6 linked regions of the Nothobranchius furzeri genome follow. The main gene of each other region encodes a partner of the protein of the gene in region 2 in a complex. Links are inferred from orthologs where the notes say so. Each region holds a gene or a part of one and is shown on either strand. Other genes may lie near its edges. The genes, in order: chtopa, thoc3, thoc2, thoc7, thoc1 and sarnp.

Region 1 (4,556 bases), on a different chromosome or scaffold from region 2:
TCTCAACAGAAATCGAGACTCATCAGTCCACGCAACATTTTTCCAGTCTTCAACTGTCCAATGTTGGTGAGCTGGTGTAAATTGTAGCTTATTTTTCCTATTTGTAGTGGAGGTGAGTGGTACCCGGTGGGGTCTTCTGCTGTTGTAGCCCGCCTCAAGTTTGTGCGTGTTGTGGCTTCACAAATGCTTTACTGCATTCCTCAGTTGTAACGAGTGGTTATTTCAGTCAAAGTTGCTCTTCTATCATGCCATGTTGTTGTTTTTATAAAACACAGAAATGGTTTTGTTACCTGTTATTGACGCTACATGTCAGGCTGACCTGAAGAAGCCGGCAGCAGTCGGCGAAACTGTAGCATCAATAACAGGTAACAAAACAATTTCTGTGTTTTATAAAAGAACAACAACATGGAATTAGAAATAACGCACAGCAAGAACACACCTAAGATGCTCTTCGATCAGCTTGAATCAGTCGGCCCATTCTCCTCTGACCTCTAGCATTAACAAGGCATTATCGCCCACAGGACTGCCGATTACTGGATGTTTTTCCCTTTTCACACCATTCTTTGTAAACCCTAGAAATGGTTGTGGGTGAAAATCCCAGTAACTGAGCAGATTGTGAAATACTCAGACCGACCCGTCTGGCACCAAAAACCATGCCACGCTCAGAATTGCTTAAACCACTTTTCTTTCCTATTCTGACCTTCAGTTAAGAGTTCAGGAGATTATCTTGACCAGGACCACACCCCTAAATGCACTGAAGCAACTGCCATGGGATTGGTTGATTAGATAATTGCATTAAGTTAAACAGGTGTTCCTAATAATCCTTTAGGTATGTGCGCACACACACATGGTTCACAGGATGTAGTATAGAGAAGTTTGTAGGTCTTAGGTTTGAACGTCCAACCTTCTAACTGGTGACGTTTTCCCAGTGAGACACAGCCATGGAAACCATGTCCCTGTGGGCACCAATCGCAGAACAAAAGCTAAGATCACACCAGGACATCTGCTTTTCTACATGCTCCAGAACACCTACAGGCCTTAAATGTTTGACATGAATCAGAAAATATCTCATTCATCATTTTATTTCCTTAACACAACTTGGGAAATAATTTTAAAACAAACATCTTGTCAGCTTCACGGAATACAAACAACCCAAAGCCTGAGCACTTCTTTCCCTGTCAAATATAAGAGAAAATGACTCGTCTTAAAATTCTTGTAAAATTATCATTTTAAAAAACGTTTCCACTGCAAGTTTAAGATGAGCCAAAGAAACTCTGGAGGTTTGAGGAAAAACTAAGAAAAACTAAACAGTTTACACCAAACACCTGTTTGACTAAAACTTCATACAGGAAGTCCGTGGACATCAGGGTCAAAGTCCCCTTGAGTTTATTCATCAGCTGATTGGCTCTTCAGCAGCAGGTGGATGCACGGCTAAACAACAGGGTGCAGCAACACCACTTGACGCTACGCCCCAGTCTTCAGCTCTGGTCTCGCTGGGCCGTCACTCCATGCTGTCGGGATCTGCCTGGGCCATGTAGGCATCCAGTTCTGCATCCAAGTGTCCCTTGGTCTTTGACATGTACGCATCCAACTGATTGTCCAGTTGTTCCCTTGTAACGGTGGGCCGGCCAAGTCCTCTGCCCCGCCCACGGCCGCGGCCCCCACGACCAGCAAATCCCCCACGTCCACGAAGTCCACCACGGCCTGAAGACAGAACATCATCAGTGAGACAGTGAAAAAAAAAAAGACACGAGTCATCAAACGATTGTACTAATAAATACAAACTCTACCCCGGCCTCTGGGCATTCCACCTCGACCTCCTCCTCGAGACAGAACTCCTCCTCTTCCTGCCACTCCTCCACGATGCCGACCTCCTCTACGCATGGGGAAGCGTCCGATGCCCCCCCGACCTCTCATAGGTCCACCTGTAGGCATTCGCCTGGCTGTTTAACACAATGTGATTGCTCAGCTGAGAGGAAACACCCCTACCATCTCCACGCTGACGGACACCTACCCCTCAGAGAAGACAGACCCCCACGAATGATCCCTCCTCTCAAACCCCCTCTGAGGCCTCCTCTGGTCATCCCCCGCATGCCTCCTCTTCCTCCAGGAGGTCCACCCCGCATCAGAGGCCCAATGGGCCGGCCCAGCCGGGCCTGGATGTTGCCTTTCCCCAGACGTTGCTTTAGGCTCTGGTGGTTCAGAAGGATCGGTCACAGCAACAAATCAGGAACACAAATAAAGCGAAGCAAGAGTAGGTCCAGCTTGTTATCCCAGCTTTCCATCAGACGCGCGAGCGTCACAAAATGTCCACAAAGCGTAGTACGTAGCACTTAGCTTCTATTATATTTACCTGTAAAACCTCTGTGACTGAGGTAAACAGTAAGTACACCACAGACCTGCTAGGATACCGTTACCATCTTTCTCCATGCTTGTTATCACGTGAACCGCTGAAATCATGCTTGATCTAGCGTTTTCCTGTGATTTTGTAACGTTGTGGGTCCAGCTGTGACACATTCACTGCCGCTTCATGTCAGAAAATCTCCCGGTGAGACGATATGCACCGCTGAGCTCGTGAGGAACCGCGTCACTTATGCATCCAGTGGAAAGCTCAGGTTAAGCCGGGTGTACACTGTGCGACTTTTTCACTTTTTTGAGCCGATTTTCCACTCGTGCGAGAATCCACGAGATCGGGGCGAGTTTTGCGCTGAGCGTCGTGTACAGGGGGCTACGAGAGGCGATTAACACCACGTGACCAGCTACCGATCAGCAATCGTGAGCTCGCACAGACTTCTGGCGTGTTTAATATTTTGCTCGTCCCTCGTGAGGGTATCGCACTGTTGAAGCGGCGCTGCGAGCAGCTGCGACCCAAAAAGTACCAGAACCGCTCACGGCACATGCATGCATCAACACCGCTCGCCCGCTATTTCCCTAATAACACACGTTGTTCGTTTTTATTTTCTACACTTTTTTTACTCACAAAGGTTGTCAAGAAAGCGTGTTTGTCGTGTTCATGTCAAATTAAACTGATCACAAAACACAGATTTACTTTCTTTATTTTGTTTTCCTCATCCAACCCCCATAAATCCCTGTGTGTCCCCCTGCAGCACTCCCGAAGGACAACAGGCAAAACAAGACAAAAAAGTCTGACGTGTTGTGTAAAAACTGCTATTTTTAGCACATTTTTAGGGCCGACGTGTTGCTACCAGACGTACAGCGTGAGCAGTCAGATCGCATCCGAGAACTGGGTCGTGCAGTGTGAGCGCACGACTCGTGAGATCTGCTCTGTGAGGAAGTCGTACAGTTTGAGCTGAAGCTGAGTGCTACGAGTGAAAAAGTCGCACAGTGTCCGCCCGGCTTAAGGGTACAACAAGACTATTTGGACATCTCACCCCTGATTGGCTAACAGCAACACAACTCTACCACTAACCTTGTTTGATTTGCATCATTGATGTTTTACCTCCATAAATGAATGAGTTCTACTGTATAGAGTAGCAGCTAATGCTAACAGTTAGCTTCTATTAGCCAAGGCAAGCTCTAGTCTCTCCTGAATGCTAAACCAACAACTGCCTTCCCCATCTTGAGCCAAGATGGCCGAGTCCATGAATGTTAACTTACTGTGAGGTAGATCTGACTGGCTTTGCTAACCTGAGAATTTCCTCGTCTGTTTTCTATCGGCTAATGCAGGAAAAAGGGGTAGAAGACTATTCACATATTCAGCCTGCATGTGAAACTCAGAGTGACCAATCATTTAAAAAAATAACACATAAAAATGGTTTCTCAGTGAACTTGTTCTTTAAACCTTTTATCAGCTATAAAGCAGCTCGTTTCGATTTGATCGTTGTCTCACTCCCATTTCTTTTTTGTTGCACATTGAAGCTCTACTTGGGACCTTGTTAATGACCAACCAAACAAACACGACGTTTGGCCATTTTCAAATGGTCTTAAACTTTTGATCAGGACTGTACTTCCCAAACAGCAAATGCATCTTCTGTCAGGCTTGGGTTTGGTTTCAATGATAATTCACTGATAAAACCAGAACAGAATCTTTCTGACTTGAGAACCCATCAGACCTTTGCTAACTTGTGCCCTTTTCCCTACTGAACACAGCTTTAAGCCTGATTTATGCTTCTCCGTCTGCGTCAGTGCGGAGACACGCAACGCCATTATCCGTCCTTGCGTAGGGATCCGGCAGGCACGCAAGTCCGTACGGAGTCGAGCCCACTTTTTTAAACATCCGTCGAACGAGACGGATTACGCAAGCCTGTGATTGGTCAGGACGCCGCTGTTGTTTACAGCGCCGCCATTGCAAAGAGAGCCGAGGATAACTAGCGGCAGACACGAAGAAGCTTGAAGAACACCTCGCGAAAAAACTCTAAAAATATGAACGTTTAATTCTCCCGTGACTGGAGGAGTGAAAAGATGCGCAGCAAGAGTTTTATTTGTGGACGGAAATGACAGGAAACGTGGGTTTAGAGGTGGGGAGCGCATGAAGCGGTGGGAGAATGAGAGACAAATAAGTCTGTGTTAAAAGTCTCTTATATACACAAAAAACA
Region 2 (4,893 bases):
GTGGCATGGAGGTACAATAACATCTCATATTTTAAGTTTAGTTTTTTCTGCGAAAACACGAATGTAATAACCCATTGTCCTCTTTTCTATATCTTTTCTCTTCCTGTTTTTTTTTCTTACATGTTTGTTAAGACTATTCTGGAGAAAATGGGCATCCAGGGGAAGGTGACAGCGATGACCAGCTTCTGGAGCTGATCAGGGAGGACATGAGGCTGCAGAGCAGCAGAGGGCACAGGAGAGAAGAGAGAACTTTTACAGGCTTTTTACTTTGATAGAAAAAATGGTTAAGAAAGATTAAACATGTACATATAAAAGAAACATCTAAATAAAATCAGTTCTGTATTAAACACTTGAATTTTATTTTTGTTTACAAATGTGAATTGTTTAATATTAAAGGGTATCCGCTGGGTCTTGAAAAGTCTTAAAAGGTGATAAATCGGTTTTGGTCAAATTAAGACCCTTAAAAAGTATTAAAAACTATTATCACATCTTTGCTCAGGCTCAGCTTGTCGAAAGTATTTTCTCTGAATTAGCTCTCCAACAGTCAAGGAAATTATTAAAAAGCTAAATAAAATTTCGAGCTCCTTCCTTCTCCCTTCTGCTCAGCGGTTCCACGGTTGCTAGGCGACAGAATGTTCGTGAGGGAGTGGCTGGAATTCATGAAGTCTAGGCTTGTCCAAATTCACAGCCGTTAACATCCGGTCTACTCAGCCGACGGAGGACCCAGCCCAAGTCGGCCGAGTAGGCTGGGTCTTTCGAAGGATGCAGACCCTGAATTGAGACACAGCGGATGTGTGTGTCTAGTTGTCGTCTCCGCCCTTTTGGTCTGCCAGGCAACAGCATTTGTTGCATTTTTCATACATGAAGTGGGGGTGGAGGAGTCTGGCAGGGGGTGACTTGCTCTTTAAGAAAAACAACACCTAATTAATTACATTTTATTTTTCAAATTTTTAGGTCTTTAAGGCTTTTTAATCATAACCAATTAGAAAACTCTCAAGGCCCAGAATAAGCATAGATAAAAAGTCTGTTCTAATAGCCATCAGGTTTAAATAACTAAGATAATGTTATTACTGTTTATTGTTGTTTTGAGGGTCATTATATCAATGTTTCAAAGTGTTTTGTTCCGTACAATTTAAAGTAAAAAACAATCATCTGCCGAAATTAAGCATTCCAGTTTGAATACAGGAAAAACATTGGCCGTTTATCAGTACTCAGGTATGCTAGTATGTTCTTGTGTACTAGTCAAGTATGTTGTTGGCAAGGACACAAAAGTCTGTTCTACCGAGTACAGGAGGATGAGGACGTCAATTGGAACATAGCCGTACTCCGTTGTTTCCTCGCAACAAGCGCTGCTTCTTGCTATTGAAGGTGAGCTCAAGTCGCCATTGTTCTGCAGCCAGGTCCTCTTGGAATTACGACCCTGTTTGCTTTGCTTTCCATACATTCTAACTAAACACATCCGAGTCAACAGGCGTCGCTCGCGCGCTCTCCACTCAGCTTCAACATCGAGTTCTCAATCCAAGATGGCGTCTCAGTACTACCGGGAGATGCAGGACAACTTCAAAAACAACAATAAAAGTCGGGAGTTCCAGGCTCATTCAGCGAAAGTTCACTCGGTGGCCTGGAGCTGTGACGGCAGGAGACTGGCTTCCGGTTCGTTTGATAAAACTGCCAGCGTGTTTGTCCTGGAAAAGGACCGTTTGGTGAGTTCCGGTTGTTTCAATGATGTAGCGCGCCAGCAATGACGGCGCTCTGGGTCTTGGCGTGACCTGCTGGCTACCGTCATGGTGCGTTGGGTTGTGACTTGTGATTATTTTGTGGCTCAAAATAAGCCGGAGAGTCGCTTCGCAGTCGGATCTCCTGCGTTGCGGGGGACACTGGGCGACCCTATTGTGAGATTCGTTGAAGGGTGGACAGTCGCGATTCAGGTGTTGTTCTTGGAAGGAGGAGTTCTGTGGTTGCTACCCGGTAGCTGTCTCCGTGTTTTTTGGTAGGTAGACGTGTTCGAGACAGTGGATGATGTTCTTCTGCGGTTCCGCGCGCATTTTTCTGGGTGTAATGGGGGTTACTGTATTCAGTCTGGTCGTGTTGTTTAGTGTGTTTGTGGCAGCCTCTTGGGCGTCTAGCCTGCATCACCAAAGACAAAGCTAGCTGCTGTGTGTATTTGCTACGGCTAACATTAGAATTTTAACTGTTTTCCACACCGGTCTAATCCCATCATTAACAGTTACAACAGAGTAGATAACTGGTCGTTTAATAAACGGAATGGGTTTACTGAGTTAAGTCATTTTAATATGAAATGCCTCTTCGCTGTAAGAAACCAGGAGAATGAGATTCAGGCTGCATTAGAAGACTGTCACCCTTTGGCACATTGCCATTGAGTTAAATACAACTACTGATGACTTCTATAGCGTTTTTTTATATCCTGCTTAATGTGGCTAAATATGTTCAGGACAAAGTTATAAAACTAAACTTCATGCATAAAAGATGCAAGACTGAATCTGCATTTTAAACAAAACATTTTAACAAAGTAACTGAGTTTATTCAGTTAGATTTTTTTCCCACCAGGTGAAAGAAAACAACTACAGAGGACACAGTGATAGTGTGGATCAGCTGTGCTGGCATCCAACCAACCCTGACCTTTTTGTCACAGCATCTGGAGATAAAACCATTCGCATATGGGATGTACGCACCACTAAATGCATCGCCACAGTCAACACGAAAGGTAGGGTGATCACACCTGTTGGAGCTGAAATCTGACCCAGCAGTGCTTTGAACAGATAGACGGTCACATCTTCAACCAGCACTGGTCTGGGTTCTATATTTCTGCTGTTGCTTTTCCTCTCACTTTTGAACAGTTTAGGGTGAAGCTTACAGCTTTTTGTTTTTGTAGTTTGGGGGGGGGGGGGGGGGGGCAGTAATATTTATTAATGTGTTACAAAAGGATCCACAGACATCAGGACTAGTTTTCCCTGTAATTGTTGTTTTTTAACTACAAAGTTATTTTAAAGTACAAATGTACATCTTTTAACATGTAACTACATAATGAAAGGCGGCTGGGTAAATAATTGACTGGAACAATGCATTGTCTGATATTTTCTTATTTCCTCAGTAATCGTTTATCAACCCAGCTTGTGCAAACCCAACCAATCTCAACAGGTTTTTTGATCAGATGGAAGAAGAAAAAAACACGTCAAACAAAAATATTCTGTCTAGTATTAATTTCTGCAGATTTACACAAAACCCAAACATGCTGAGCTCTGGTTAAAAACTTAAACAGCTGCAACATTTAGGCCGTCTTATTGTTTTAAAGAAAAATATGAGGAGGAAAAGCTTTACTTGAACTAGTTTTAAAATACAGTTTGAGAAAATAGCTTGGAGCCAGAAACTGAAACCGAAAAAATTAAATGTTTTCCAGTTTATTTTGGGTGATGACATTTAGAGGCCGACTGATATATTAAACTTTTTCTATATCAGCCATCGGCCGAAATTATTTATAAAAGCTGATAAAAAAATACAATAAAATCAGGCCAACTGCCCCTATTACTAGGATGAAGATAGGACTCAAAGGACCCCAACACACCGTTTTTTAATGTTTTGAGTTTGTTTTATATTACAACTTCAATAAATAATTAAGAGATTCATTTACTTTATGCTGCACACAGTGAGTGTTCAGTTGTCTTTCACAATCAATGTGCTGCTAAAACATTTATATATTAGCTTTAATAATTGGCTTTAGATATCAGCCATTGGCAACAAAATCCTTTAAAAATCTGTATCAGCAACAGCCTTAAAAAACATGTCGGTCAGCCTCTCATTAAAGTACTTTGATACCATGGGTCGTCATTTGTACTAGAAATAGAGAAATTAAATGTTTTTGTCTTATTCTAGCAGTTGAAATTATGTTGTTCAAAAATAATGTGTTTTTTTTTTATTGTTTATTTTGACTTTAGGAGAGAACATCAACATCTGCTGGAGTCCCGACGGTCAGACCATTGCTGTTGGGAACAAAGACGATGTGGTGACTTTCATCGACGCCAAGACGCATCGCTCCAGGGCGGAGGAGCAGTTCAAGTTCGAGGTGAACGAGATCTCCTGGAACAACGACAATGACATGTTCTTCCTCACAAACGGCAGTGGCTGCATCAATATTCTGAGGTAGGATCCAAATGAAGTACCGTATTTTCACGACTATAGGGCGCACTGTGTTATAGGGCGCAGCTTCAGTTACGGGTGTCTTTTTGGTATTTAACACATACAAAAGGTGCACCGGGTTATAGGGTGCAGGCGCGGCACGTAAAACGTACCGGTAAAACATCTGTGCGGGCTCGGGACTCGAAACATATCAGTGCAAACCAGACATTGTGAAAATTATAAACAGCCAAAAGCATGCTTCACTTTACTGTTCTAGTCCTGGTTTAGACCTGGTTTAGAGCGCACGTGCACTTCCTCATTGCGTGCGCTGACGGCTCGTGCTCTTCTAATGGGCTCGACACACGGGAGGCAACTTCGCCTCTCCTCCACTCATTTTCAATGAGACATGCGCGACAAAGCGATAATCGCGGGTCTCCCTCCTACTAAAGCCGGGCGTACACCGGGAGTGCTGCAGGAGGCCACACAGGGATTTATGGGGTTGGATGAGGAAAACGAAATAAAGAAAGTAAATCTGTGTTTTGTGATCAGTTTAATTTGACATGAACACGACAAACACGCTTTCTTGACAATCTTTGTGAGTAAAAAAACGTGTAGAAATAAAACGAACAGCGTGTGTTATTAGGGAAATAGCGGGCGAGCGGTGTTGATGCATGGTTGCGCATGCGCCGTGAGCGGTTCTGGTACTTTTTGGGTCACAGCTGCTCGCAGCACCGTTAGAAGCGCTGATGCGCTGTGTTG
Region 3 (4,844 bases), on a different chromosome or scaffold from region 2:
TATTTTTTAGAAATGTGCGTTCTGCTTTTATACCTTAGAGATGATTTTCATTTATAGGCATTTTGTATCGACAATCAAATGTAAATGAATGGTTTCTAAGCATATTATTTCACATAGATACTGAAATAATCCTTTTTAATGAAAACGGAATGGTGTTACTACAGATGCGGTCATCTGTTTTTATTTTCTTCTATTATTAATGGGTGCAAAGGTAATGCATTACTCAAATAGAGTCACATGACTAATCAGTGTGCATCTAAAAATATTTTATTGTTGGAAGCATTTACAATGCCATACATAAAACTCTGTCTCTAGTATATTGCTCTTTGTATATTAAAATAGTAACACAACCATACCATGTTCACATTTTTATTTAAAAAAAATGGTTTGAAAATGGTTAATTAAGTTGTTTTTTCAGTTTTGCATAGGATTTATATGAAAATGTTTCCCCACTGATTCATGTTCGATTCCAAACTCATTTGGTTATCTGTGTCTCAGAATTGTTCATTATAAAATATTAAGCGTGTAATATATTATGAATGGGTGATTATTTTATAAGTTGAGTAAAAAGCTGAATGTTACCTTAACATTAACCCACTAATTTGAAAGTATGCATCCACTGTAGCTTGTTTTTGTTGGATTGTTGTAATTTTTATTAGAATTTCTTTTGTGTACTGCCTTAGTTGGCTAATAATTCAGACTATAGAAGGTGATGTTCATGTTGTAGCTATAACAGAACCCTAATTTTCTCCAAATGTCACTGTAAAGAAAATCCCAACATGGTCATAAACGTTACTACAGTACTGTAAAGTATTCTTGTACGGCAAATTAGACTAATTATGCATCTTAGATGCCTGCAAATGTTTACTCAAGTCACTTTGGATCTTTGTTTTCACCAAACTGCTGAAAACGTGCATACATCTGTGTTTATACATATTTTAAAATTTTTTTGTGTTTCTCTTCTATTTACAAAGTGCCCATTGCATCCTTGAAGATTTGTATTTATGTCTGAAGATGTAACATAACCAAATAAACCCTCTGAAGCTTGTGACTTTGACAGGTAGAAAAATGTTGTCATTTAAAAACACACTTTCACATCTTGTAAAATGCCAAATGCTAGTAACACATTCATTTTCCCCTCTTGCTTGCAGAAGTAGTAGTTTTTGTAGAAAACGCTTCAAATTGACCTTTTTAAACTTTAAGCATAAAACAATAATGACTGGCAATAGTAAACCATTTAGGAAACTCGTGTGGACACAGCTCTGAACAATCCCAACGAGTAGCACCGAGCTAGCAACAGCGGCAGCTAACATCACATTTGAACCTGTGTGCCATCACAACGATGAACCACACTTTAGGTGTTGTGCCGAAAAAAGCACCCCTGCTGTAGAAAGCATGGCCGTAGCAAGAAACGTAGAAAACCACTTCATTCACTAACTTTACTTGAGGTCAGCAGTGATGAACTGGCTCCTGGTTTTCACTGCTGTTATGAAAAACATTTTTATTTTGAAAATAACTGCGATATACACGTAAAAGAGTGTTTCGTGGTAGTTATTTTTCTGACCAGGAGATTTTAAAGCCTTTTATAAAAATAGCAAAATAAATAACGTAAGTTAACTGTTCTGTTAATCGCAGAAAAACAACACTAACCCGTTTGTGACTTCTTATAAATGTATTTGTGATTGAAACTGATTGTGATGTTTTTCCCTTGTTTGGGTCCTTTTCACGATACGGGTGAATTTTTTTGGCACAACACCAGGCAGAGTATATTGAAGATGGCGTCTTTTACCCTCCCTGGTGAATGGATCAAAAACTGGGAAAAATTGGGAAAACACGAGTTGTAAGTAGATTTTATGTTGTGCTTAGTTTGTTTAGGGGTTGCAGCAACATAAAAACAATAAGCTTACTTTAAAATCATGGCTAGCACAAAGTAACGTTAGCGAACAGCTCAAGAGGCTTATCACTGTCGAGTAAACAAAAATAAAAAATGTTACTAGGCGTGTAATTAGTCAAACGCATATTACAAAATTCGTAACATTTAACATTAACTGGCTTGTTATTATCTATCTACATATTAATGGTCTGGCTAGATTTGTAAACACGGTGGCTATCGAAGCTAAGCTAGTAAAAAATCTATCTGTTATTTGGATCTTTTTCAGCTACAAACTTGATAAAACTTCGTATTAACGCTCAGGTACCATGCAATAGCAAACCCACGAGTGGTTTGAAAACAATAAAATAGTTTTATGTTTTATAACTTTGACCCAATCATGTGGAGGGAAACAACGGATCGTAACAGCTAGTTAGCCGTAATGTTAGCCGCAGATTTTTTTTGGGTGAAGCGACGTGTTAAATGTTCTGTATTTGGACTGGACGTGGGAATGAAAAGATGCAATGTTTGATGATCGGATTTTATCAAACTTTGTATTTCTGATCGATTAAACGTCTGCGTTAGCGTCGGAGACTGAGTAAAGACCAGGCCAACATCTGGGCCTCAATAATAAAGTTTGACCTGTGATATTACCTAAAAAAAAACCGTGAATAGTGTTTGAATGTGTTTTATTAAGCAGAAGCATTAAGCATATCCAGTCACACCGTAAGCTGATCCACACATTCCTGGCTGCTAGTTACTATAGGCCTTGCATCGAGACAGGCCTAGAAGCACTAGACCTACCAAACTACTATGATGGTTGTGTCTGTCAAAGTCAAAGTCAGTTTTATTGTCAATTCTACCACATGTGCAAGACTTACAGAGAAATTAAATTGAGTTATACAGAGAAATGAAATTGAGTAGCTTCTGGTTAATAATATATAGTTAAGGCGATTGAATAAAACAGATTGATATTAATTTGGTCAGATGTAATATCACATTGTTCTGGTGATCATCTGTAAGACAAGACCAACATTTTTGGACTCAAGCAAAACTGGTTTAAAGGAACCAAAGAATCAACAAGCTGGCATAGAAACTACATATCACTAAGTTACTTTGTTTTGTTTTGTTAAATGTATTATAATGGAGACTTTATTTTGTTCAGTCATTCTTCACCCAGTGTAATAGTGTTTGCTATGATTCATTTTGAAATAAAACATCACATTTATCTTTGTTAAAAGTGTTTGAAAGAAAAATACAATTACCCACTCACCAATTTATATGGAAAGCTGATATTTGACTTGTTATTACAACATTTAAAAATGCTTTCACATCAAGTTACAGTCAATCTAGAGCAACATCAAATAACTACATAAGAAACCTCTGTGTACACAGGTTTATACTGCTTAGCTGAATTACACATATGCCCAAAACCTAAGCACTTCTATTTTTCATTCACCTTTCTTGACTGAATATATATTATTAGAGGTTGGCGGTGTATTAAAGGCAGAAACTAAAGGATTTTTTGTTATATTAAACAGATCTCTGTGTGTTTGTGTAGTCTTCCTTTTTAGAAGTTTATTTATTAGGCTGCAAAACAGCTTTTTATTGCCATATATAAGGTAACAGACATAGTAACTATATTTTTGTCTCTTTTTTTTTACTTTGTAGTGTACAACTCTGCAAAAAGCTCACAGAGAAAAGTGAACATGGAAGTGAAATCAAAGGTAAGCAGAGCTTGATTTTTGTGTGAAAACGTAGAAACATTACGTAGAACCAACACACCACTTCATAGACAAGCTGTGGTAAAAGTTTCCCTCTTATAAACCAACATAACTAAAAATTAAAATTTATTTTGACACCCTTCTTCCCAGGGGTAGGCACTTTGTAACAGTTTTTACTTAGCTGCTTGGTGTTCATTCCAATGACTTAAAAAAAAAGAATTAACCATCTGTGATGTCACCTATATTTTTCTTAAGGGCTTGTTTGAAACAAAATGGGCAGTTCCCACACTGCCATCTTGGCCGTTTAACTTGTTTTGTCACCACCACCAAATGCAAAAAAAAAAAAAAAAACATGGGCAAAGAGCTGGAGCTGAGTGTGTAGCTGTGAGGGTGGGAGCAAATAATTGACACCCATCAATCTCTGAACCGATATAGCTATGAGCTAACTGAGCTAACATGAAGCTAGGAGTTAACCGTTGACTGTTAAAATTAGGGTTGTCACGGTATGAAAATTTAACCTCACGGTTATTGTGACCAAAATTATCACGGTTTTTGGTATTATCGCGGTATTTTTTAAACGGTGTTGCATATGTTCAGAAAGCATTGATAGTCCTGTTCTACACAAACTGAAATAGTTCTGAAAAGGTTTAACAGTGTTTATTAAACCTAAAATAACACAAAGCCTTAGCAAAAGTGCAACTTTTCACAAGTAAAGAACAAATAGCTTATTTTTCTGGAACATGTTACAGTAGTCAGTGCAGGTTTAAATTATACAAATCCAAACATTCGAAACATAAACAATATGTCAACAAATCAAATAAACACCACTTGTTTTCTCATATACTTGTTTTCTTCATTATCAAAATGAAAATCTAAAACTCCAGTCCACACTTGACTTGAGCACTGTACAAGTCAACCTTAAAAAAAATATGTATTTAAAATAAATAGCAACTTTAAACAAATTACTAAAATAACTACTACACTATGTAATCAAATCCAAATGTTCAAGTATAAATGGCATTGAATAAGTAAACAAATCAATGACAAGGAACTAATTGTATATTTCTCTTCATCATCAACAAATAAGATGCTTCATCCAGCAACAGGGTGTCCGTGACACGGTTTAAATGCTGGCAGAGGGCGCTGCGGCTGCAGTCTATAGTGACTCGTTGCATTCTCCCTCAACCAAAAGACCTCACGTCATGCATTTAAGCTAAAATGCTAATGTTAACTTACCTTGCACTGGCTGT
Region 4 (4,651 bases), on a different chromosome or scaffold from region 2:
TTTACAATCTTGGCCTTTGTATTTTAAGGCAAAGTTCAAATTGAGAAGTCTCTTTTTAGGCAAAGATCGAAGCCATCAAGCAGACAAGTCTTTTGCTGAGACTACGCCGAGGACTCAGTTCAAAATGGAGCTGCTGGTTTACTCCCAGGACAAGACCTACAGTAACAGCATCACTGAGAGCAAACAGGATGGAGAGAAGGGTGAAAATGAATCCTTCAGAAGATGAAACCTTATGTACTGCAATGACAATGATGCATCTTAAATCATATTACAGAGTATGTTTTAACATTATCAGAGAAAAAGCCTTCTTCAACTCAGGGTGAGCCTAACTGCTCCTTCCTCCTGCAGATTGCTAGCATGCGCCTGGCAGACCAGATCCCGCTGGTGATCCGCTACCAGATGCTGCAGGAGTCTGCCACTGAGCTGCAGAGAGAGATGCTCCAGGATAAGGAGAACATGGAGCTCTTGCTGAAGGAGGACTTTGACATTGGCAGTAAACGAGCAGCTTTGCAGAGTTGACTAAAGCACATCCTGCAGGCCCAAGCGTACCTGGTAGAGTTCTAGACCTTAAATCCCTTTTCTGTTGTAGCATGCATGATGTTGTTCTAGACTTTATGGTTCGGTTAAAACAATTTACAGGGGTTTGCAACAAAGTACATAGTGATCATTCACATAGGAAGTCAGAGGCTTTCTTTCATTGTGGTTTATTTACTACATCAGTAAATTTTGGCATTCATTTTTAAATAAATGAGCAAAACCATAATTCTTGTTACAGACGTCTTATTCTCAGAAGAATGTAATTTTGTGAACTTTAAATCAGAAACTATTTGATAGTTTGGTATGAAAAAATGATAATTTAGTATGAAAAAAATGATAATTGGGTTTAATGACACTTAGATTTTACAAGTATTCAAACTCTCACTTATAGTGCAGAAACTTCCAGAGAAAATACAGCACATATGAATGTTCAACAACTGTTCTGTCCTTGACTGACGCGTATTAAATTTCTTTTCTGATCAGAGTTTCAGTTGATTTTCTTAAAAGCCTGGAAGCTTTGGTTACATTTTTACTGAGATTATTTTAATGAAAAGAGAATATAAGAATTAAAGATATACTCCAAGATGACAGCTTTATTCAAAAATACATACAAAAAAGGATTCTTAGACAAACTAAATTTCAATTAAAAGCTGTGACTCCTTCAGTTGGGCTCTTTATGTGTTCAATCCCCATTCTCCATGGGACTCTCCTGACTGTGGTCGTCACTATCTGACTTTTCATCATCTAGGAAAGACAGGATAGACGATGAGGGCAGCTCTGACAACAGTTTGTCTGTATAACCAAGTGGCTACTTACTTTCTAGTGTCTGCTGCAGCTCCTGAATGGTAGTAAGAAGAACATGAAACTGCTTCTTCCTCAACTCCAACTAAAGAGAATGCAAACATGGCATAAAAAGTCAGTAAAAATACAACTAAATCTGATACTTTAACAACATTAGGCCGCTGTGTTTGAGTTTACCTTTGCATCTACGTTCTCTTTGATGTGAGACAGTTGCTGGAGTTCTTTATCGAGTGCCTCCAACTGCCTGGAAGGTAAAACAAAAATGAGCACTTTATTGAACATGAAGGGGAGCTTGACATGTTTTATCGATAGGCTGACTTACTGGAGTGTTTCATGTCTGTCTGGGTGTTGCTGGATTACCTTTGCTAAAGCATCATATTCTTTGGAGAGACAGAGAACAGATACTTAAAAAAAAGTTTACATCCTTTTGACAACGCACATTTGATACCACATCTGGTAATTTTTCTGTAAATACAACAGATGTTAAAATGTCCTTACCCTGGCGATTTTTTCGTATTCTCTTGGCACGCAGAATTTCTTTTTTGCATTCTGTGATCTTCTCATGTGCAGATGTGATGTTTTGTTCTGCGAGGTGCGAAAGAAAAAAGTTTGATTAGTGTTAATTGGGCGATGGTGGCACAGGAGTTAAGTGCTCGCCCCATAATCAGAAGGGTGCAGGTTCGAGCCCCGCTCAGTTGTAGCTACGATGTAGCTCATCACCACCAGTGTGTGAATGTGTGTGTAAATGTCTGATTGTGTTGTGTTGTAAAACGCCGTGGGGGGTTCCAGGACTAGAAAGCTCTATAAAATACAGGCCATTTGGCATGTATGACTAAAAGAATTAACAAAAAATTCTGTGACATTGAAAACAAAGCCGATCTTACCTATGTTTGCGTAGATCTTCTCATAATTCTCCATTTCACGAAGATTCATGTCATAAACCATCAACGTCTTTCCCATAGAAAACTCACACTGAGCCAGAGTAGCCACCATCCTCTGGTACTGAGTGAATCTACACACAAAGAGCCCAATGTTCAGCATTTCACTGCAGTTGTGTACTCGGCATTCAAGATGTTACAAGCAAAAACTGGAGACAGATATATTGCTAGCTCGTACCCTTCTTCTAGGGTCCCAGAAGGTGAGTTGCACCACTTGGTGAAGCTCTTCAGCAGCAGATTGATTCGGCGGTCATCTCCAGCTCCGTCACCGTCAATGAGAAGACGTTTTCGAATCACCTCATCTGTGGAACATGCAATAAAGCAGCTGAAGAGCGTTGAAAACATAATGCATCTATGCTAAGTGTGCTAGCTAACGTCGCTATTACAGGTAGCATTTCTGGGTATTTTTCCAGATAATAAGGCGCAATTTACAATGTTTTAAACTTAGACGAAAACAAAAGTAAAGAGTAACTTAAGTGCTGAAATTAGTTAATGATAAAGCCACAAACCATCAGTTACAGCTCCCATGTTGCTGTTTTTCTTCTTCTACTACTTCCGTTCTACTGGTACTGATTGATCTTTTGTCTTTAGGCAACTCAGACACAGCTGAGCTCGTTACTGCCTTATCTGGTAAGAGGACGTTACTGCATGTTGTGATCTTTTCGCTTCATCTTCGTTAAATAATGTGGATTTTAAGTATACAGTGATTACAGTGATTATGTGACACAGAGATTTAGTTTAAATGCAATTTAGTAATACCACTAGGTTTTTTTATCACACAATCAATTACAAATTACACAATCAAGTGATGAAATTGAATTACGGTAGAATACATTTTTCAAAGGCAAAATGAATGCTGTAATCACTTTTTGCTGTGTAAAAAAACGCCTCAATTATGTATGAGCAAAGCCCTGCTCATAAAAACAGCATATGTTGTGTTTGGTGCTGGTTTAGTGGTAGATCAGCATACAATGCTGGTCTAGCAAGATGGTTCAGCATCCAGTCACCAGCTTCCCATACTGGACAGGCATTGTACACATCTTTTAACACAAAACCCTAAACTTTTGCAGCTGTTCAAAAATAAGCACTTTCTTGACATCAAAACGTGTCTTTAAAATTCACAGACATATATGTGAAATATATGGCACATATCAAATAGGATTAGATTAGGATTAGAAAATAGCCTCTCCCTGGGCTGCCACCTTAGCGTGGTGGAGGGGTTTGAGTGCCTCAATGATCCTAGGAGCTAAGTTGTCTGAGGCTTTCTGCCTCTGGTAGGGTCACCCACGGCAAACAGGTCCTAGGTGAGGGATCAGACAAAGAGCAGCCCGAAGACCTCGTATGATGAATTATATAAATGGAAAACGTGTTGCCTCACCCGGACGTGGGTCACCGGGGTCCCCCTCTGGAGCCAGGCCTGGAGGTAGGGCACATTGGTGAGTGCCTGGTGGCTGGGCTTTCACCCACTGAGCCCGGCCGGGCACAGCCCGAAGAGGAAACGTGGGTCCCCCTTCCCATGGGCTCACCACTCGTGGGAGGGGCCAAAGGGGTCGGGTGCAGTGTGTGATGGGTGGTAGTTGAGGGCGGGGACCTTGACGGTCTGATCCTCGGCTACAGAAGCTGGCTCTTGGCACATGGAATGTCACCTCTCTGGTGGGGAAGGAGCCTGAGTTCGTGTGTGAGGTTGAGAGGTTCCAACTAGATATATTCGACTCACCTCAACGCATGGCTCTGGCTCTGGAACCAGTTTCCTTGAGAGGGGTTGGACTTTCTACCACTCTGGAGTTGCTCCCACTGAGAGGCGCCGAGCAGGGGTGCGCATACTAGTTGCCCCCCATCTTGGTGCCTGTACTTTGGAGTTTTCCCCAGTGAATGAGAGGGTAGCCTCCCTCCGCCTATGTGTGGGGGGACGGGTTCCGACTGTGGTCTGTGCTTATGCACCAAACTACAGTTCAGACTACCCACCCTTTTTGGAGACCTTGGAGAGGGTGCTAGAAAGCGCTCTTTGCAGTGACTCCCTCATTCTGCTGGGGGACTTTAACGCTCACATGGGCAATGACAGTGAGAACTGGAGAGGTGTGGTTGGGAGGAACAGCCCCCCTGATCTAAATTTGAGTGGTGTTTTGTTATTGGACTTCTGTGCCAGTCATGGATTGTCCATGATGAACACCATGTTCAGACATAAAGGTGTCCATATGTGCTCTTGGCACCAGTATACCTTAGGCCGCAGCTCGATGATCGACTTTGTTGTTGTTTCATCTGACCTGCGGCCTCATGTCTTGGACACTCGGGTGAAGAGAGGGGCGGAGCTGTCAACTGACCACTACCTGGTGGTGAGTTGGCTCAGATGGTGGGGGAGGATGCCGGTCAGACCA
Region 5 (5,041 bases), on a different chromosome or scaffold from region 2:
CCTACAGGATTGTGGAGATGAAACAATCAATGTTGCAGAGCAGAGTCAGTGGTAAGGTCATGTTGCTGTTAGCCAATCAGAGGAGAGATGTCCCAATATCAGGAAATAAGACTCACATTCCTGTCGTCTGAACCTACTTTCTCCTCTGGCTGAATTCTCTGAGCTGAAACAGGTGCACCGGAGCTTTTTTCCCCCAGAGTACAACTTACAAGGCATTTGTTCCTACAATAGACCACTGCAAATGTATTACAAACATGGGCGAAGGACCTCTTCAATCTTTGCTCCATGGCAGCTCAATCAAATATTTTTCCCTATTTCATTCCTTTTCTAGTCTGACCGTCTTATCTTTTCCACAAAGTTAGACTATATGGACCAGTGTCTTATCAAAACTATGTCAAAGGTTGTAGAAGTTACAGGCACGGACAGCGGGATGAGCGTGCCTCGCAAACATGGAACTAAGCCTCAGCATGCAACCTAAATATATTTGTTCATTTTACTTTTTGGTGCAATTGGAGGTATATTTTTGAAAACTCGTTGCATAAAAGCTGAACAAATTATCTAGGGAAGTTTAATTGAACAAAATAAATAAATTATTTAATTAATTAATTAAATCACCCATTTTAGGTAGAATGTAGAAGATTTCTCAATCTTCTTGCCCTAATCACAACCTCAAACCACGCACAAATCACTTTTAAGAGTGCCTCCCAGCACAATCTCCAAGTTTCTCATCGTGCTTACTCCCTTTCTGCTCTTCATCAGTTTTTGGCAACAATCTGATGAACTCTGAGTAAGATAAGGGATGGGAGAAAATAGGTATTAGTAAATCACTCCTCACTTCCCTTTTTCATGAACACTACAACCACACACGTGAAGGAAATAGAGCCTCTCCTGCTTCCATGTGACACTAAACGCCTCCACTTCACAAAGTCATTGTTCTTCTCTTAACATCAGCACAGCCACCAAAACACTGTCACAAAAAGGTTACAAACACCCATCAAAAGGAGCTGAAAAGGATCATCCTTGTATGTAAATCCTAGAGGTCTTGACCTGGATCAAAACAAGCTTCAGTGTTCTCACATGGGTTGAGTAAATCTTTAGTTTAATGATTGTTGTCTCAGGGTAATGGAGCGGTTATTCTAATGTCAAATCGGACATTGTTAGACAAGCAGATGGTATCAAAGGATTCAAGGCCTGCAGCACATAGCTGAATGTTCATTTGCATGATTAGAACATGTGGAAGTGCACACCAAGACAGGCACACATGCAAAACAAACACATTACAACTGCTGTGCATTGTGACCTGTCAAAGTCAAATATTTATTAACAAGAAAGGACAAAAATTATTTCGCTCTTTCCGTTAAAATAAATATAACTTTGAAATGCATACAATATAAACAGAGTGACGTTATTTTACAAGTATTCAATGGCTGACACAACTTATTATTATTATTATTATTATTGTTGTTGTTGTTGTTGTTGTAATTATTATTATAAAGAAAGTTTGGAACATGACTCTTTAAAATAAAAATCAAGTGTAAGATTTTTTTAAGTGAGTCCTGGCCAAAAGGCAAACTAAACCATACAGTGGGGAAATTAGGATTAAAATAAATATTAATACTGTTATTTTCAGGAAGTAGAAATACTAATTTTAACTCACCATTTGAAGAAGGTTTCCATGCATCCATCACTTACAGCCACTCAGAGTTTGATGAATGTAAGCAAATTAAAAAATAATGAAAAACTTTAACAGCAACAATGGTGTACAACACTGCCATCGTGTGGTCAAGATTGCTATGCTACGGTTTATTTCCATTTTTCATCCAAAATGGAAATAAAAATGTGACTGACTGAACTATTTGAAACTAAATTAAAAAATACAAAGTTAGTTTTATCCTAACTCCGTTTATAGATAATATGTATTAATGTATAATTTTGTCAGATAATTCCCTTTACGTACAAAAACGCCACTTCATAACCGGAAGTGATTCGTTGGCGGTTCCGGTTTCAGAAGCGTAAAGATGTCTCTGTCCTCATTTAATTTTGTCGACGCTAAAGAGAAATTTTCGGTGAGAAGTGGCTTCTTTCTGTCATTTCCATCCATAATATATTTGTATGTAAGACAACTTGTTGATAAAACCGTAAAAAATCTTAACTTCACTACTTTATGGTTGTGCTTGTTGTACTAGTGTAGTAGTTAGCCAAAGAAGCTAAGCTAAAGTAAACGCTTCTGAACGGTCCTGTTGTTTACGAGGTTGAAGTTAGCTTCCGATTTGGAAATTGGCTAAAGAGCATTTGCACTCAATTTTATTTACTATGACCATCTTTAATCTGCTCTATTTAAAAAAACTACAATGCCTAGACAGTTCAAACCGGGACTGGAATATTCTAGACTAATAGCAGATTCCATAAAGCATAGTTTGTGATTTGTGAAACCTTTTTCAGATTTGTGAAACTTAAAATAGGCAGATTTTGAAGTTTCACAAATCACAAACTGTTTTATGGAATTTGCTATTAGTCTAGAATAATCCCGTCCAGGTTTGAACTGTCTAGGTATTGTAGTTTTTAAGATGAAGCAGATTAAAGATGGTCACCGTATATAAAAATTGAGAGTGGCCTTGGCCTTAGCCATTTCCCGAATCGGAAGCTTGAAAACGGAAGCAAACTTCTGCATCGTCTTTTGTTTCTCATTATGTCCTTTCCCATGCTCACCCAACCGTAGGCTGCAAGCACACAAGCACTAGCTGGTAAAACCTGCAAACCCCTAATCGCCGTGTTTAACCAACTCCCCGGCAAGTAAGTTGTGCTCCTGGGTCGAGGTTCCAGATCAAAATAATCCAGAAATACAAATTTACTACTTGTGTGTTTTTGTCAGTGAGACGGAAAAGAAGACCACACTGGATCAGGCTTTGAGGAGTGTTCTTGGTGACCAGATTGTAAGTTTAATAAGTTAGTTAATTTAAATTTGAAAATATGTGAGAATCGCTAATGATTGTTTCTCTCTAGCTTGAGCAGAAATCATGCTGTGATGACTATCTGTCTCTAATCTACCAGAGCATCAATGCTGTTACTGAGGGTATGTTATCACTACTGCTGAGGTGGATATTTATTTTAGATTAGATGATTTTGGATTTTAAACATACATGTTGAAAGGATCGCTTTGATATAAGTTTTGGTAAAACGTCTCTTAAAACAAATGACAGTGTAACATTTATTCTGTTTTTAATGCAGGTATCTGTTCTGCTACGACTCCTTTTGTCCTGCTGGGAGACGTTCTGGATTGCCTTCCCCTTGACTTGTGTGACAAAATATTCTCTTTTGTTGAAGAAAATGTCTCTACCTGGAAATCGGTATAATTACAGGCATTTTTTTTTGTAAAGGCAACAAAAATATTTCTCTGTTTTTGTTAGAAGGTTTCATTATTGTACCTGTGTTGTTTCTTTCTTCCAGAGCTCTTTTTACACAGCAGGAAAGAACTATTTGTTGAGAATGTGTAACGGTAAAAATCTTGTCTTTTTCTCTGTCATCCAAAAGACTTTCTATTCTCAGAAAGTTCAGGTGCAAGTGACTTTTGTTTCATCTGTACAGATCTTTTAAGGAGGCTGTCGAAATCCCAGAATACAGTATTCTGTGGGAGAATCCAGCTTTTCCTGGCACGTCTCTTTCCTCTGTCTGAAAAATCCGGTAAGAAAGTCAGTTATTTTTCTAACTTGAAGGGGAAAAAAATCAAAGCACTTTACAATCATATTGTAAACCTCTCAATTAAATAGATTTTGTGTGTGTTTTAATCCAGGTCTCAATCTACAAAGCCAGTTTAATCTGGACAACATAACCGTGTTCAATAAAAATGAACAAGAAAGCACTCTTGGTCAGAAGGTGAAGTATTGTTAGGTTAATTATTAGGTTAATGAGCTCATCCTTTCCATCCTGTTTCATCTGTTTTTTTGCTACTATGTTGACAGCACGCTGATGAAAAGGAAGACGGCATGGAAGTGGAGGAAGGAGAAATGGGGGAGGATGACGCCCCGGCACCGTGGTGAATGAAAACCATTTGCTGTATTTGCTCACATTTTCACCTTCATGAAATAATAGTACCCTTTTGTTCCTTAGTTCTATTCCGATTGACTACAACCTGTACAGAAAGTTCTGGACATTGCAGGACTACTTTAGAAATCCGTTGCAGTGCTATGAAAAAATCTCATGGATTACTTTTGTTAAGGTAATCCACCTCGGTGCAGCAACTCTGACCAATTTGACGGATCACTGTCAATATCCAAGATGAGGATAAAAAAATAAATAAACTTGTGTGTTGCTTTTGCTTTGCTCAGTACTCCGATGAGACTCTTGCTGTGTTCAAAAGCTACAAACTGGATGACATGCAGGCGTCAAAGAGGAAGTTGGAGGAGCTGCGAGCGTCTGATGGTGAACAGGTTTACTTTGCCAAGTTTCTCACGAGCGAAAAGGTGCAGAAAAATCATTAAAAATCTTTTAATCATGTATAAATAAGCAGTTTTTAACTGACTATGGCTGTAAGTCATATGTTTTTCTGTCTTAAAAGTTAAACTTCATTGTTTTGGGATTTTTTTTTTTTTTGTAATCTGCAGCTGATGGACTTGCAGCTCAGCGACAGCAACTTCCGGAGACACATACTGGTGCAGTACCTGATCCTGTTCCAGTACTTGAAGGGTCAGGTCAAATTCAAAAGGTGAACATTTGTGCAACTAAACAAATATCACTTGTTGGGATGGAATTAGTTCATGTTTATGCTTTTTGATTTCTTGACACAGCTCAAGCTGTGCTCTGAATGATGACCAGACTACATGGATTGAGGAGACGACTAAGCTGGTGTTTCAGGTCAGTTCAGACACGTAGGACCAGAAATCAGGAGAAAACGTGTCTGTTGCGAAAAAAATCTGTCCGTTCTTCTTCTGAGGTTTTGTGACAATTTCCATTTACATCACAGTTTTTTTATACCTCATAAAACTATTATTCTTATTAACACTGTGAACCACTGAGAGAACAACTTGTAACTTATCTGTTCTTG
Region 6 (4,399 bases), on a different chromosome or scaffold from region 2:
TTTCTGTTGTTTTTATCTACTTTTAACTAGCCTGATTCAATAGTAGATTTGGGCTGTTTTTCATTAGAAATATTAAAAGATGCTGAGTAAGGAAGACATAATGCATTCCTTGAATGAATGCAAAGCCTCTAATTTAAATATTATCCCTGATGTGACTGGGAACACTGAAGGATTTGTTCCCACACTTCCACTGCAGCGGGCATGTGTCATAACTCTTTATTAAATGTTATATTTATATTAATATGGATCTGATCTGCCTTGTGTGTGCAGGTTTGGTTTACCTACTGATGCTACCAGTCCCTCTCCAGGTACTGACCCGGCTGTGTTCATAAATGCTAGAAGCAGAGTTAATAACCAGTAAAAGAATAACGTGATCCTGCTGTAGGTGATGAGGTTTGCTGATGTTTTCTCTCCCTGCACTCCTACAGGGGCTGTTGCCAACAGTAAAGCTGCAGTAAGTCCTGACGAGCAGATGGATCTTTAGATCCCCGGCTGGTGGAGTCCTGATGGGTTTAACGATTAATTTATGTCCTCTTTAGGTGAACCTCGATCAGCTGAAGAAGAGAGCAGAAAGATTCGGCATGAACGTTTCATCTGTTTCACAAAAGGTTGGTGAGCCGCGCTGCTTTAGTGTTGCTCTACACCTGAGCTGGATCTCCATCGGTCTGGGGTTTGGTTTGTTGTCTGGTCTCTTCAGAAACACGTCAGCTGTTTGTCTTTTGATCTTGAGGTAGATCAAACGAATGTAGTTGCTTGGCCACCTTAAATGCCTGGTTCACTGAGAAAACGTGAAGTGTTTGTTTTTAAATACGGTCACTCACTTCACATGCAGGCTGAATAGAAAAAATGTTCTTCAGCCCGCATCGCCTGCATTAGCCGCAGACGGGGAAACAATCGGGTCAGAAAAGGACGTTCTCTTCTAGGTCACTGGGAAAATTAGCATTCATGGCCCCGCCTACCTTGGCTTGGAACCAGGGAGGGATTCTTATTTTTATGTGATTATTTTGCAGCCAGGAGAGAGAGCAGAGCACTTTTTGACTAAAGCTAACCATTAGCATTCGTAACTCTACAACATGGCAGAACACGTTCAGGCTTTTGTTATTTGTAAAGATAAAACATAAACGTTGCATTTTTTACCCAAGAAAGAAGAGCAAACAAATGCATCAGAAGGGTTGTGTTGCTCATGCAGGGGACTGTTCTGTTCTGGTCCTGCTGGACCTGACTGCAGCCTTTGACACTGTTGACCATCACCGGCTACTGGAGAGGCTGAGAGACTGGGGAGGCCTATCAGGATCTGCTCTGGAGTGGTTCTCCTCTTATCTCTCTGAGCGCTCCTTCTCTGTGGCCGTCTCCCAAGTTTAGGTCCTCCACCACCTCTCTTACTCATGGTGTCCCACAAGGTTTTGTGCTGGGGCCTTTACTCTTCCTCCTCTATCTACTTCCTCTTCAGCACATCCTGAGCTCCTTCAAAGGAATCTCCTACCATCTTTATGCAGATGGCATCCAACTGTACATCTCCTTTAAGCCCCGTGAGATGTCTAAGCTGCAGCTGTTACACACCTGCTTAGACTCTATCAAAGCCTGGATGGCTGGGAGCTTTCTTCAGCTGAATGAAGATAAGACTGAGATCCTCATCTGTGCCCCAGACAAGCTGGATCCCAAAGTCAGAGACTCTCTTGGTCAGCTTGCTTCCCACACCAAACCTTCTGTCAGGAATCTTGGCGTGACCTTTGACCCAGCTCTCACCCTGGATTCTCATGTCAGTTCTCTTGTTCGCTCTTCCTTCTTCCATCTCAGGAACGTTGCTAAGCTGAGTCCCATTCTGTCCCGCTCTGAACTTGAGACAGTTCTCCACACCTTCATCTCCTCACGCTTAGACTACTGTAACTCTCTTTTCACGTGTCTGAGCAGAACCTCCCTGAACCGTCTACAGGTGGTTCAGAACGCCTGTGCTCGGCTTCTGACCAAGTCCTCCAAACACACCCACATGACGAGCCGGCTCCCGTCGTTCACTTCTTAGAGCCGGTTCATTGGCGACCGACACATCACTAAAGCTGATAAATCTCAAAGTACGTGACAGGCGTGGTCGAAACACACATCGTTAGTTTTCATTTAAATTGCAGGACAACGTGTGATCCAGGGCTTAAGGCAAAGCGGATTAGAAAATAACGTTTTTAGCTCCTTTGACTTGCGTTCATTTTTTCGTTCTTTCGGGGACCCGTGAGCCGACCAGAACTTAGACTCCCTATCATGAATTCAACGAGTAAGACTTCAAATCCTGACAGAACCCTGGAACAGCTCATCTGGAAGGTACTGAAAGTGTCCAGAATAAAGCTGCTGAGAGGGTTTAGGTGCTTCCTGGACATGCCTTGTACGGACCGTAGACCTGCTAGACATCTTCCTTTTAACATCATGTTATATAAAATAAATTCAGATTACCACTTTTGTTGGAAAATAATCAAATTCATCTGCATTCAGGACAGAAACGACAGATTTACTGTAACAAACGTTTCTGCCTCTGATTTATTTGTGTGATAATTAACATTTGGGGCGTTGCAGCTACTTGATTCTCTTTCACTGTTGTAGATCTGCTGCTGATTTATGACCCAGTCAGCTGTCGGCTATGGTTGTAAAAAAGATCTGTGATTGGTAAAGAAAAAAAAACAACTTAAACACAAAGTTTGAAGATATCTGTTCCATTAGCTGTAATAGTTGCTGCACCAGAGTACTGGAGGGTCTGTTTAATGATGGGGTGGAAGCTGTTTTTGTTCTCTTCCTGTTAAATGTGAACCATTTTAATAAATAATGTTTTGACACGTTATGATGGATAAGAACGCTATAATGGAACGTTATAATAAGTTTGTTTTTCAGGTTGTAGAGGATGAAAAGCTGATGAAGAGGAAGGAGAGATTTGGGATCCTAACGGGAATGTCGGCTGTTGGAGCAGGAGATGTGGAGGTGATGTTTATTGTTTGATTAGTAGTCAAAACAAGAGTAAATATATAAAAGTGCTGATTAAAATCTCTCATTCTGTCTTTTTTTTTCTCTCTGCAGGCAAAAAAAATGAAGCGTGCTGAAAGATTTGGAAAAGTGTAAACGGTGTTTTGTTTTTTGAAGTTGTGTTCCAGGCTGTGCAGCGTAGATTTCTGAGGAATAAATGATTTGTTGGGTTGTTTCAAACCAAAAGTACACTTAAATACAAAGTTCGATGCGACGGACACTCCCAGCGTCTCAGTCGTGTCCTACGTCTCTGGATCTATGAACGAAAGCAGGTTCTCTGTCTGGTTGCTCATTTGTTTTTATCTTAATTGAAATTTGAGGAGCAGCGTTTGATTTGGATTAAAAGAAAATCTGTTTTAGTTTTATTTAGGTATTTCCAATATTAAAGCCATAGTGAGTTAACTGCAGAATAACCGATCTCTTGCTAACCCACCTGTGACTGTTCGGTACTTAGCTGTACTTTTGGTTCACCGGCTGCTTGTACTTCAGCTTATCTGTTCCATTTTCTAACACTTTGTGATTTAAAATAAATTTTCAATTTTTTGACAAATCTGTTTAGTTTTGCACAAGATTTACGCTCTCACACACCGCTGCAACACACTTCCCCCCAAATTCCACTACCTCCGCTCCGCCACGAACTCTGCAGCAAAATCGGTCCCGTTGTAGTCAATCAGAGCAATTCCACTACTGCGGCCGTGCTCCGGCAGTGCGCCGCCCTCTGTTCCGGCAAAAATAGAATCGATCCTATTTTTGCCGGACGCCGGAACACAACGGACAGGAATCACAACGGCCCAACAGGAAAAGGAGCAAGCACAACTTCCGTTTTTCACAATAAATCGATAAACAAAAGGCGTTTTTTGTTTCATATGCACGGGTTTAACAACTTTTAACAACTATCAATGGCGGCTGAACTTTAAATGCACAAAAGTAAGCCATAAATACAGTTTCCACTATCAAAGTAGTCACACTTTGTTGATCCAAACACTGCTAATCTCTCAACACAAGTGATGGGCAGATTAAACAGTTCATTTCGATGCTTCTCCCACACGACGGGTGTTTGGATCTAACTTCCGCGTTTATTGCTCGGACTGTATCGCAAGATCTCGAAAATCCCGCGCATGCCTGTTTGCGCACCTCAGGTCTCCGCACCGAAGGGGAGCCGTTGTAGAGCGGGTACCAGTTTAAATCATAGACTGTAATTTTTAAATTCAGTTCGGAAGCGAGCGGCTGCGGAAGGCGGGGGCGGGGCGGAGGTAGTGGAATTTGGGGGTTCATCTGCAGTGCATGTTTCTGTGGACCATTATGGCGTGTACAGTACACTTACTGTGGGTTCAAATCAGCTTCGACTCCAGATACACCAATTCACTCACCAAGTTCAGTGCTGGTTTCGCTGCACTCT

What was found.
Region 1: thoc3 (region 2) and chtopa share a complex: the UniProt entries of both Homo sapiens proteins name them as parts of the transcription/export (TREX) complex. The link is inferred for Nothobranchius furzeri from reciprocal best matches to the Homo sapiens genes THOC3 and CHTOP.
Region 3: the proteins of thoc3 (region 2) and thoc2 are in contact, whole or in part, in a cryo-EM structure (PDB 7ZNL), measured with the Homo sapiens proteins. The link is inferred for Nothobranchius furzeri from reciprocal best matches to the Homo sapiens genes THOC3 and THOC2. Residues at the interface, in NP_115737.1 of Homo sapiens: Asp193, Met196, Ile208, Val217, Gln218, Asn221, Ala222, Pro224, Ser225, Ala244, Asp245, Ala246, Leu247, Ser249, Trp251, Asp252, Asp254, Glu255, Leu256, Val257, Cys258, Val259, Cys261, Ser263, Leu265, Asp266, Pro268; in NP_001075019.1 of Homo sapiens: Tyr395, Arg396, Pro401, Lys402, Gly403, Ala404, Lys405, Gly406, Ser407, Pro446, Ile447, Ala450, Arg454, Cys500, Asn501, Ala502, Cys503, Met504, Glu506, Pro563, Arg566, Gln567, Lys570, His573, Tyr603, Leu604, Thr605.
Region 4: thoc3 (region 2) and thoc7 share a complex: the UniProt entries of both Homo sapiens proteins name them as parts of the transcription/export (TREX) complex. The link is inferred for Nothobranchius furzeri from reciprocal best matches to the Homo sapiens genes THOC3 and THOC7.
Region 5: thoc3 (region 2) and thoc1 share a complex: the UniProt entries of both Homo sapiens proteins name them as parts of the transcription/export (TREX) complex. The link is inferred for Nothobranchius furzeri from reciprocal best matches to the Homo sapiens genes THOC3 and THOC1.
Region 6: thoc3 (region 2) and sarnp share a complex: the UniProt entries of both Homo sapiens proteins name them as parts of the transcription/export (TREX) complex. The link is inferred for Nothobranchius furzeri from reciprocal best matches to the Homo sapiens genes THOC3 and SARNP.

Annotation. Positions count from the first base shown.
Region 1 is NC_091751.1:23,238,360-23,242,915, forward strand, and holds the end of chtopa (chromatin target of PRMT1a), read right to left. Parts: intron 2,193-4,556; coding exon 2,015-2,192; intron 1,944-2,014; coding exon 1,791-1,943; intron 1,705-1,790; coding exon 1,502-1,704; 3' UTR 1,067-1,501; downstream 1-1,066. UniProt on the Homo sapiens protein: Plays an important role in the ligand-dependent activation of estrogen receptor target genes. May play a role in the silencing of fetal globin genes.
Region 2 is NC_091741.1:68,371,632-68,376,524, forward strand, and holds the start of thoc3 (THO complex subunit 3), read left to right. Parts: upstream 1-1,448; 5' UTR 1,449-1,523; coding exon 1,524-1,703; intron 1,704-2,568; coding exon 2,569-2,725; intron 2,726-3,953; coding exon 3,954-4,158; intron 4,159-4,893. UniProt on the Homo sapiens protein: Component of the THO subcomplex of the TREX complex which is thought to couple mRNA transcription, processing and nuclear export, and which specifically associates with spliced mRNA and not with unspliced pre-mRNA.
Region 3 is NC_091750.1:48,346,457-48,351,300, forward strand, and holds the start of thoc2 (THO complex subunit 2), read left to right. Parts: upstream 1-1,707; 5' UTR 1,708-1,775; coding exon 1,776-1,840; intron 1,841-3,541; coding exon 3,542-3,597; intron 3,598-4,844. UniProt on the Homo sapiens protein: Component of the THO subcomplex of the TREX complex which is thought to couple mRNA transcription, processing and nuclear export, and which specifically associates with spliced mRNA and not with unspliced pre-mRNA.
Region 4 is NC_091743.1:56,272,132-56,276,782, forward strand, and holds thoc7 (THO complex subunit 7 homolog), read right to left. Parts: upstream 2,892-4,651; 5' UTR 2,805-2,891; coding exon 2,786-2,804; intron 2,579-2,785; coding exon 2,455-2,578; intron 2,351-2,454; coding exon 2,223-2,350; exon of another isoform or gene 1,924-2,222; coding exon 1,837-1,923; exon of another isoform or gene 1,719-1,836; coding exon 1,661-1,718; exon of another isoform or gene 1,583-1,660; coding exon 1,516-1,582; exon of another isoform or gene 1,424-1,515; coding exon 1,354-1,423; exon of another isoform or gene 1,282-1,353; coding exon 1,220-1,281; 3' UTR 1,116-1,219; downstream 1-1,115. UniProt on the Homo sapiens protein: Component of the THO subcomplex of the TREX complex which is thought to couple mRNA transcription, processing and nuclear export, and which specifically associates with spliced mRNA and not with unspliced pre-mRNA.
Region 5 is NC_091751.1:49,147,686-49,152,726, reverse strand, and holds the start of thoc1 (THO complex subunit 1), read left to right. Parts: upstream 1-1,969; 5' UTR 1,970-2,018; coding exon 2,019-2,066; intron 2,067-2,719; coding exon 2,720-2,793; intron 2,794-2,872; coding exon 2,873-2,933; intron 2,934-3,003; coding exon 3,004-3,073; intron 3,074-3,228; coding exon 3,229-3,347; intron 3,348-3,447; coding exon 3,448-3,496; intron 3,497-3,585; coding exon 3,586-3,681; intron 3,682-3,790; coding exon 3,791-3,873; intron 3,874-3,959; coding exon 3,960-4,033; intron 4,034-4,107; coding exon 4,108-4,216; intron 4,217-4,325; coding exon 4,326-4,460; intron 4,461-4,601; coding exon 4,602-4,702; intron 4,703-4,784; coding exon 4,785-4,851; intron 4,852-5,041. UniProt on the Homo sapiens protein: Component of the THO subcomplex of the TREX complex which is thought to couple mRNA transcription, processing and nuclear export, and which specifically associates with spliced mRNA and not with unspliced pre-mRNA.
Region 6 is NC_091755.1:36,676,429-36,680,827, forward strand, and holds the end of sarnp (SAP domain-containing ribonucleoprotein), read left to right. Parts: intron 1-270; coding exon 271-308; intron 309-428; coding exon 429-454; intron 455-539; coding exon 540-608; intron 609-2,871; coding exon 2,872-2,958; intron 2,959-3,054; coding exon 3,055-3,096; 3' UTR 3,097-3,550; downstream 3,551-4,399. UniProt on the Homo sapiens protein: Binds both single-stranded and double-stranded DNA with higher affinity for the single-stranded form. Specifically binds to scaffold/matrix attachment region DNA. Also binds single-stranded RNA. Enhances RNA unwinding activity of DDX39A.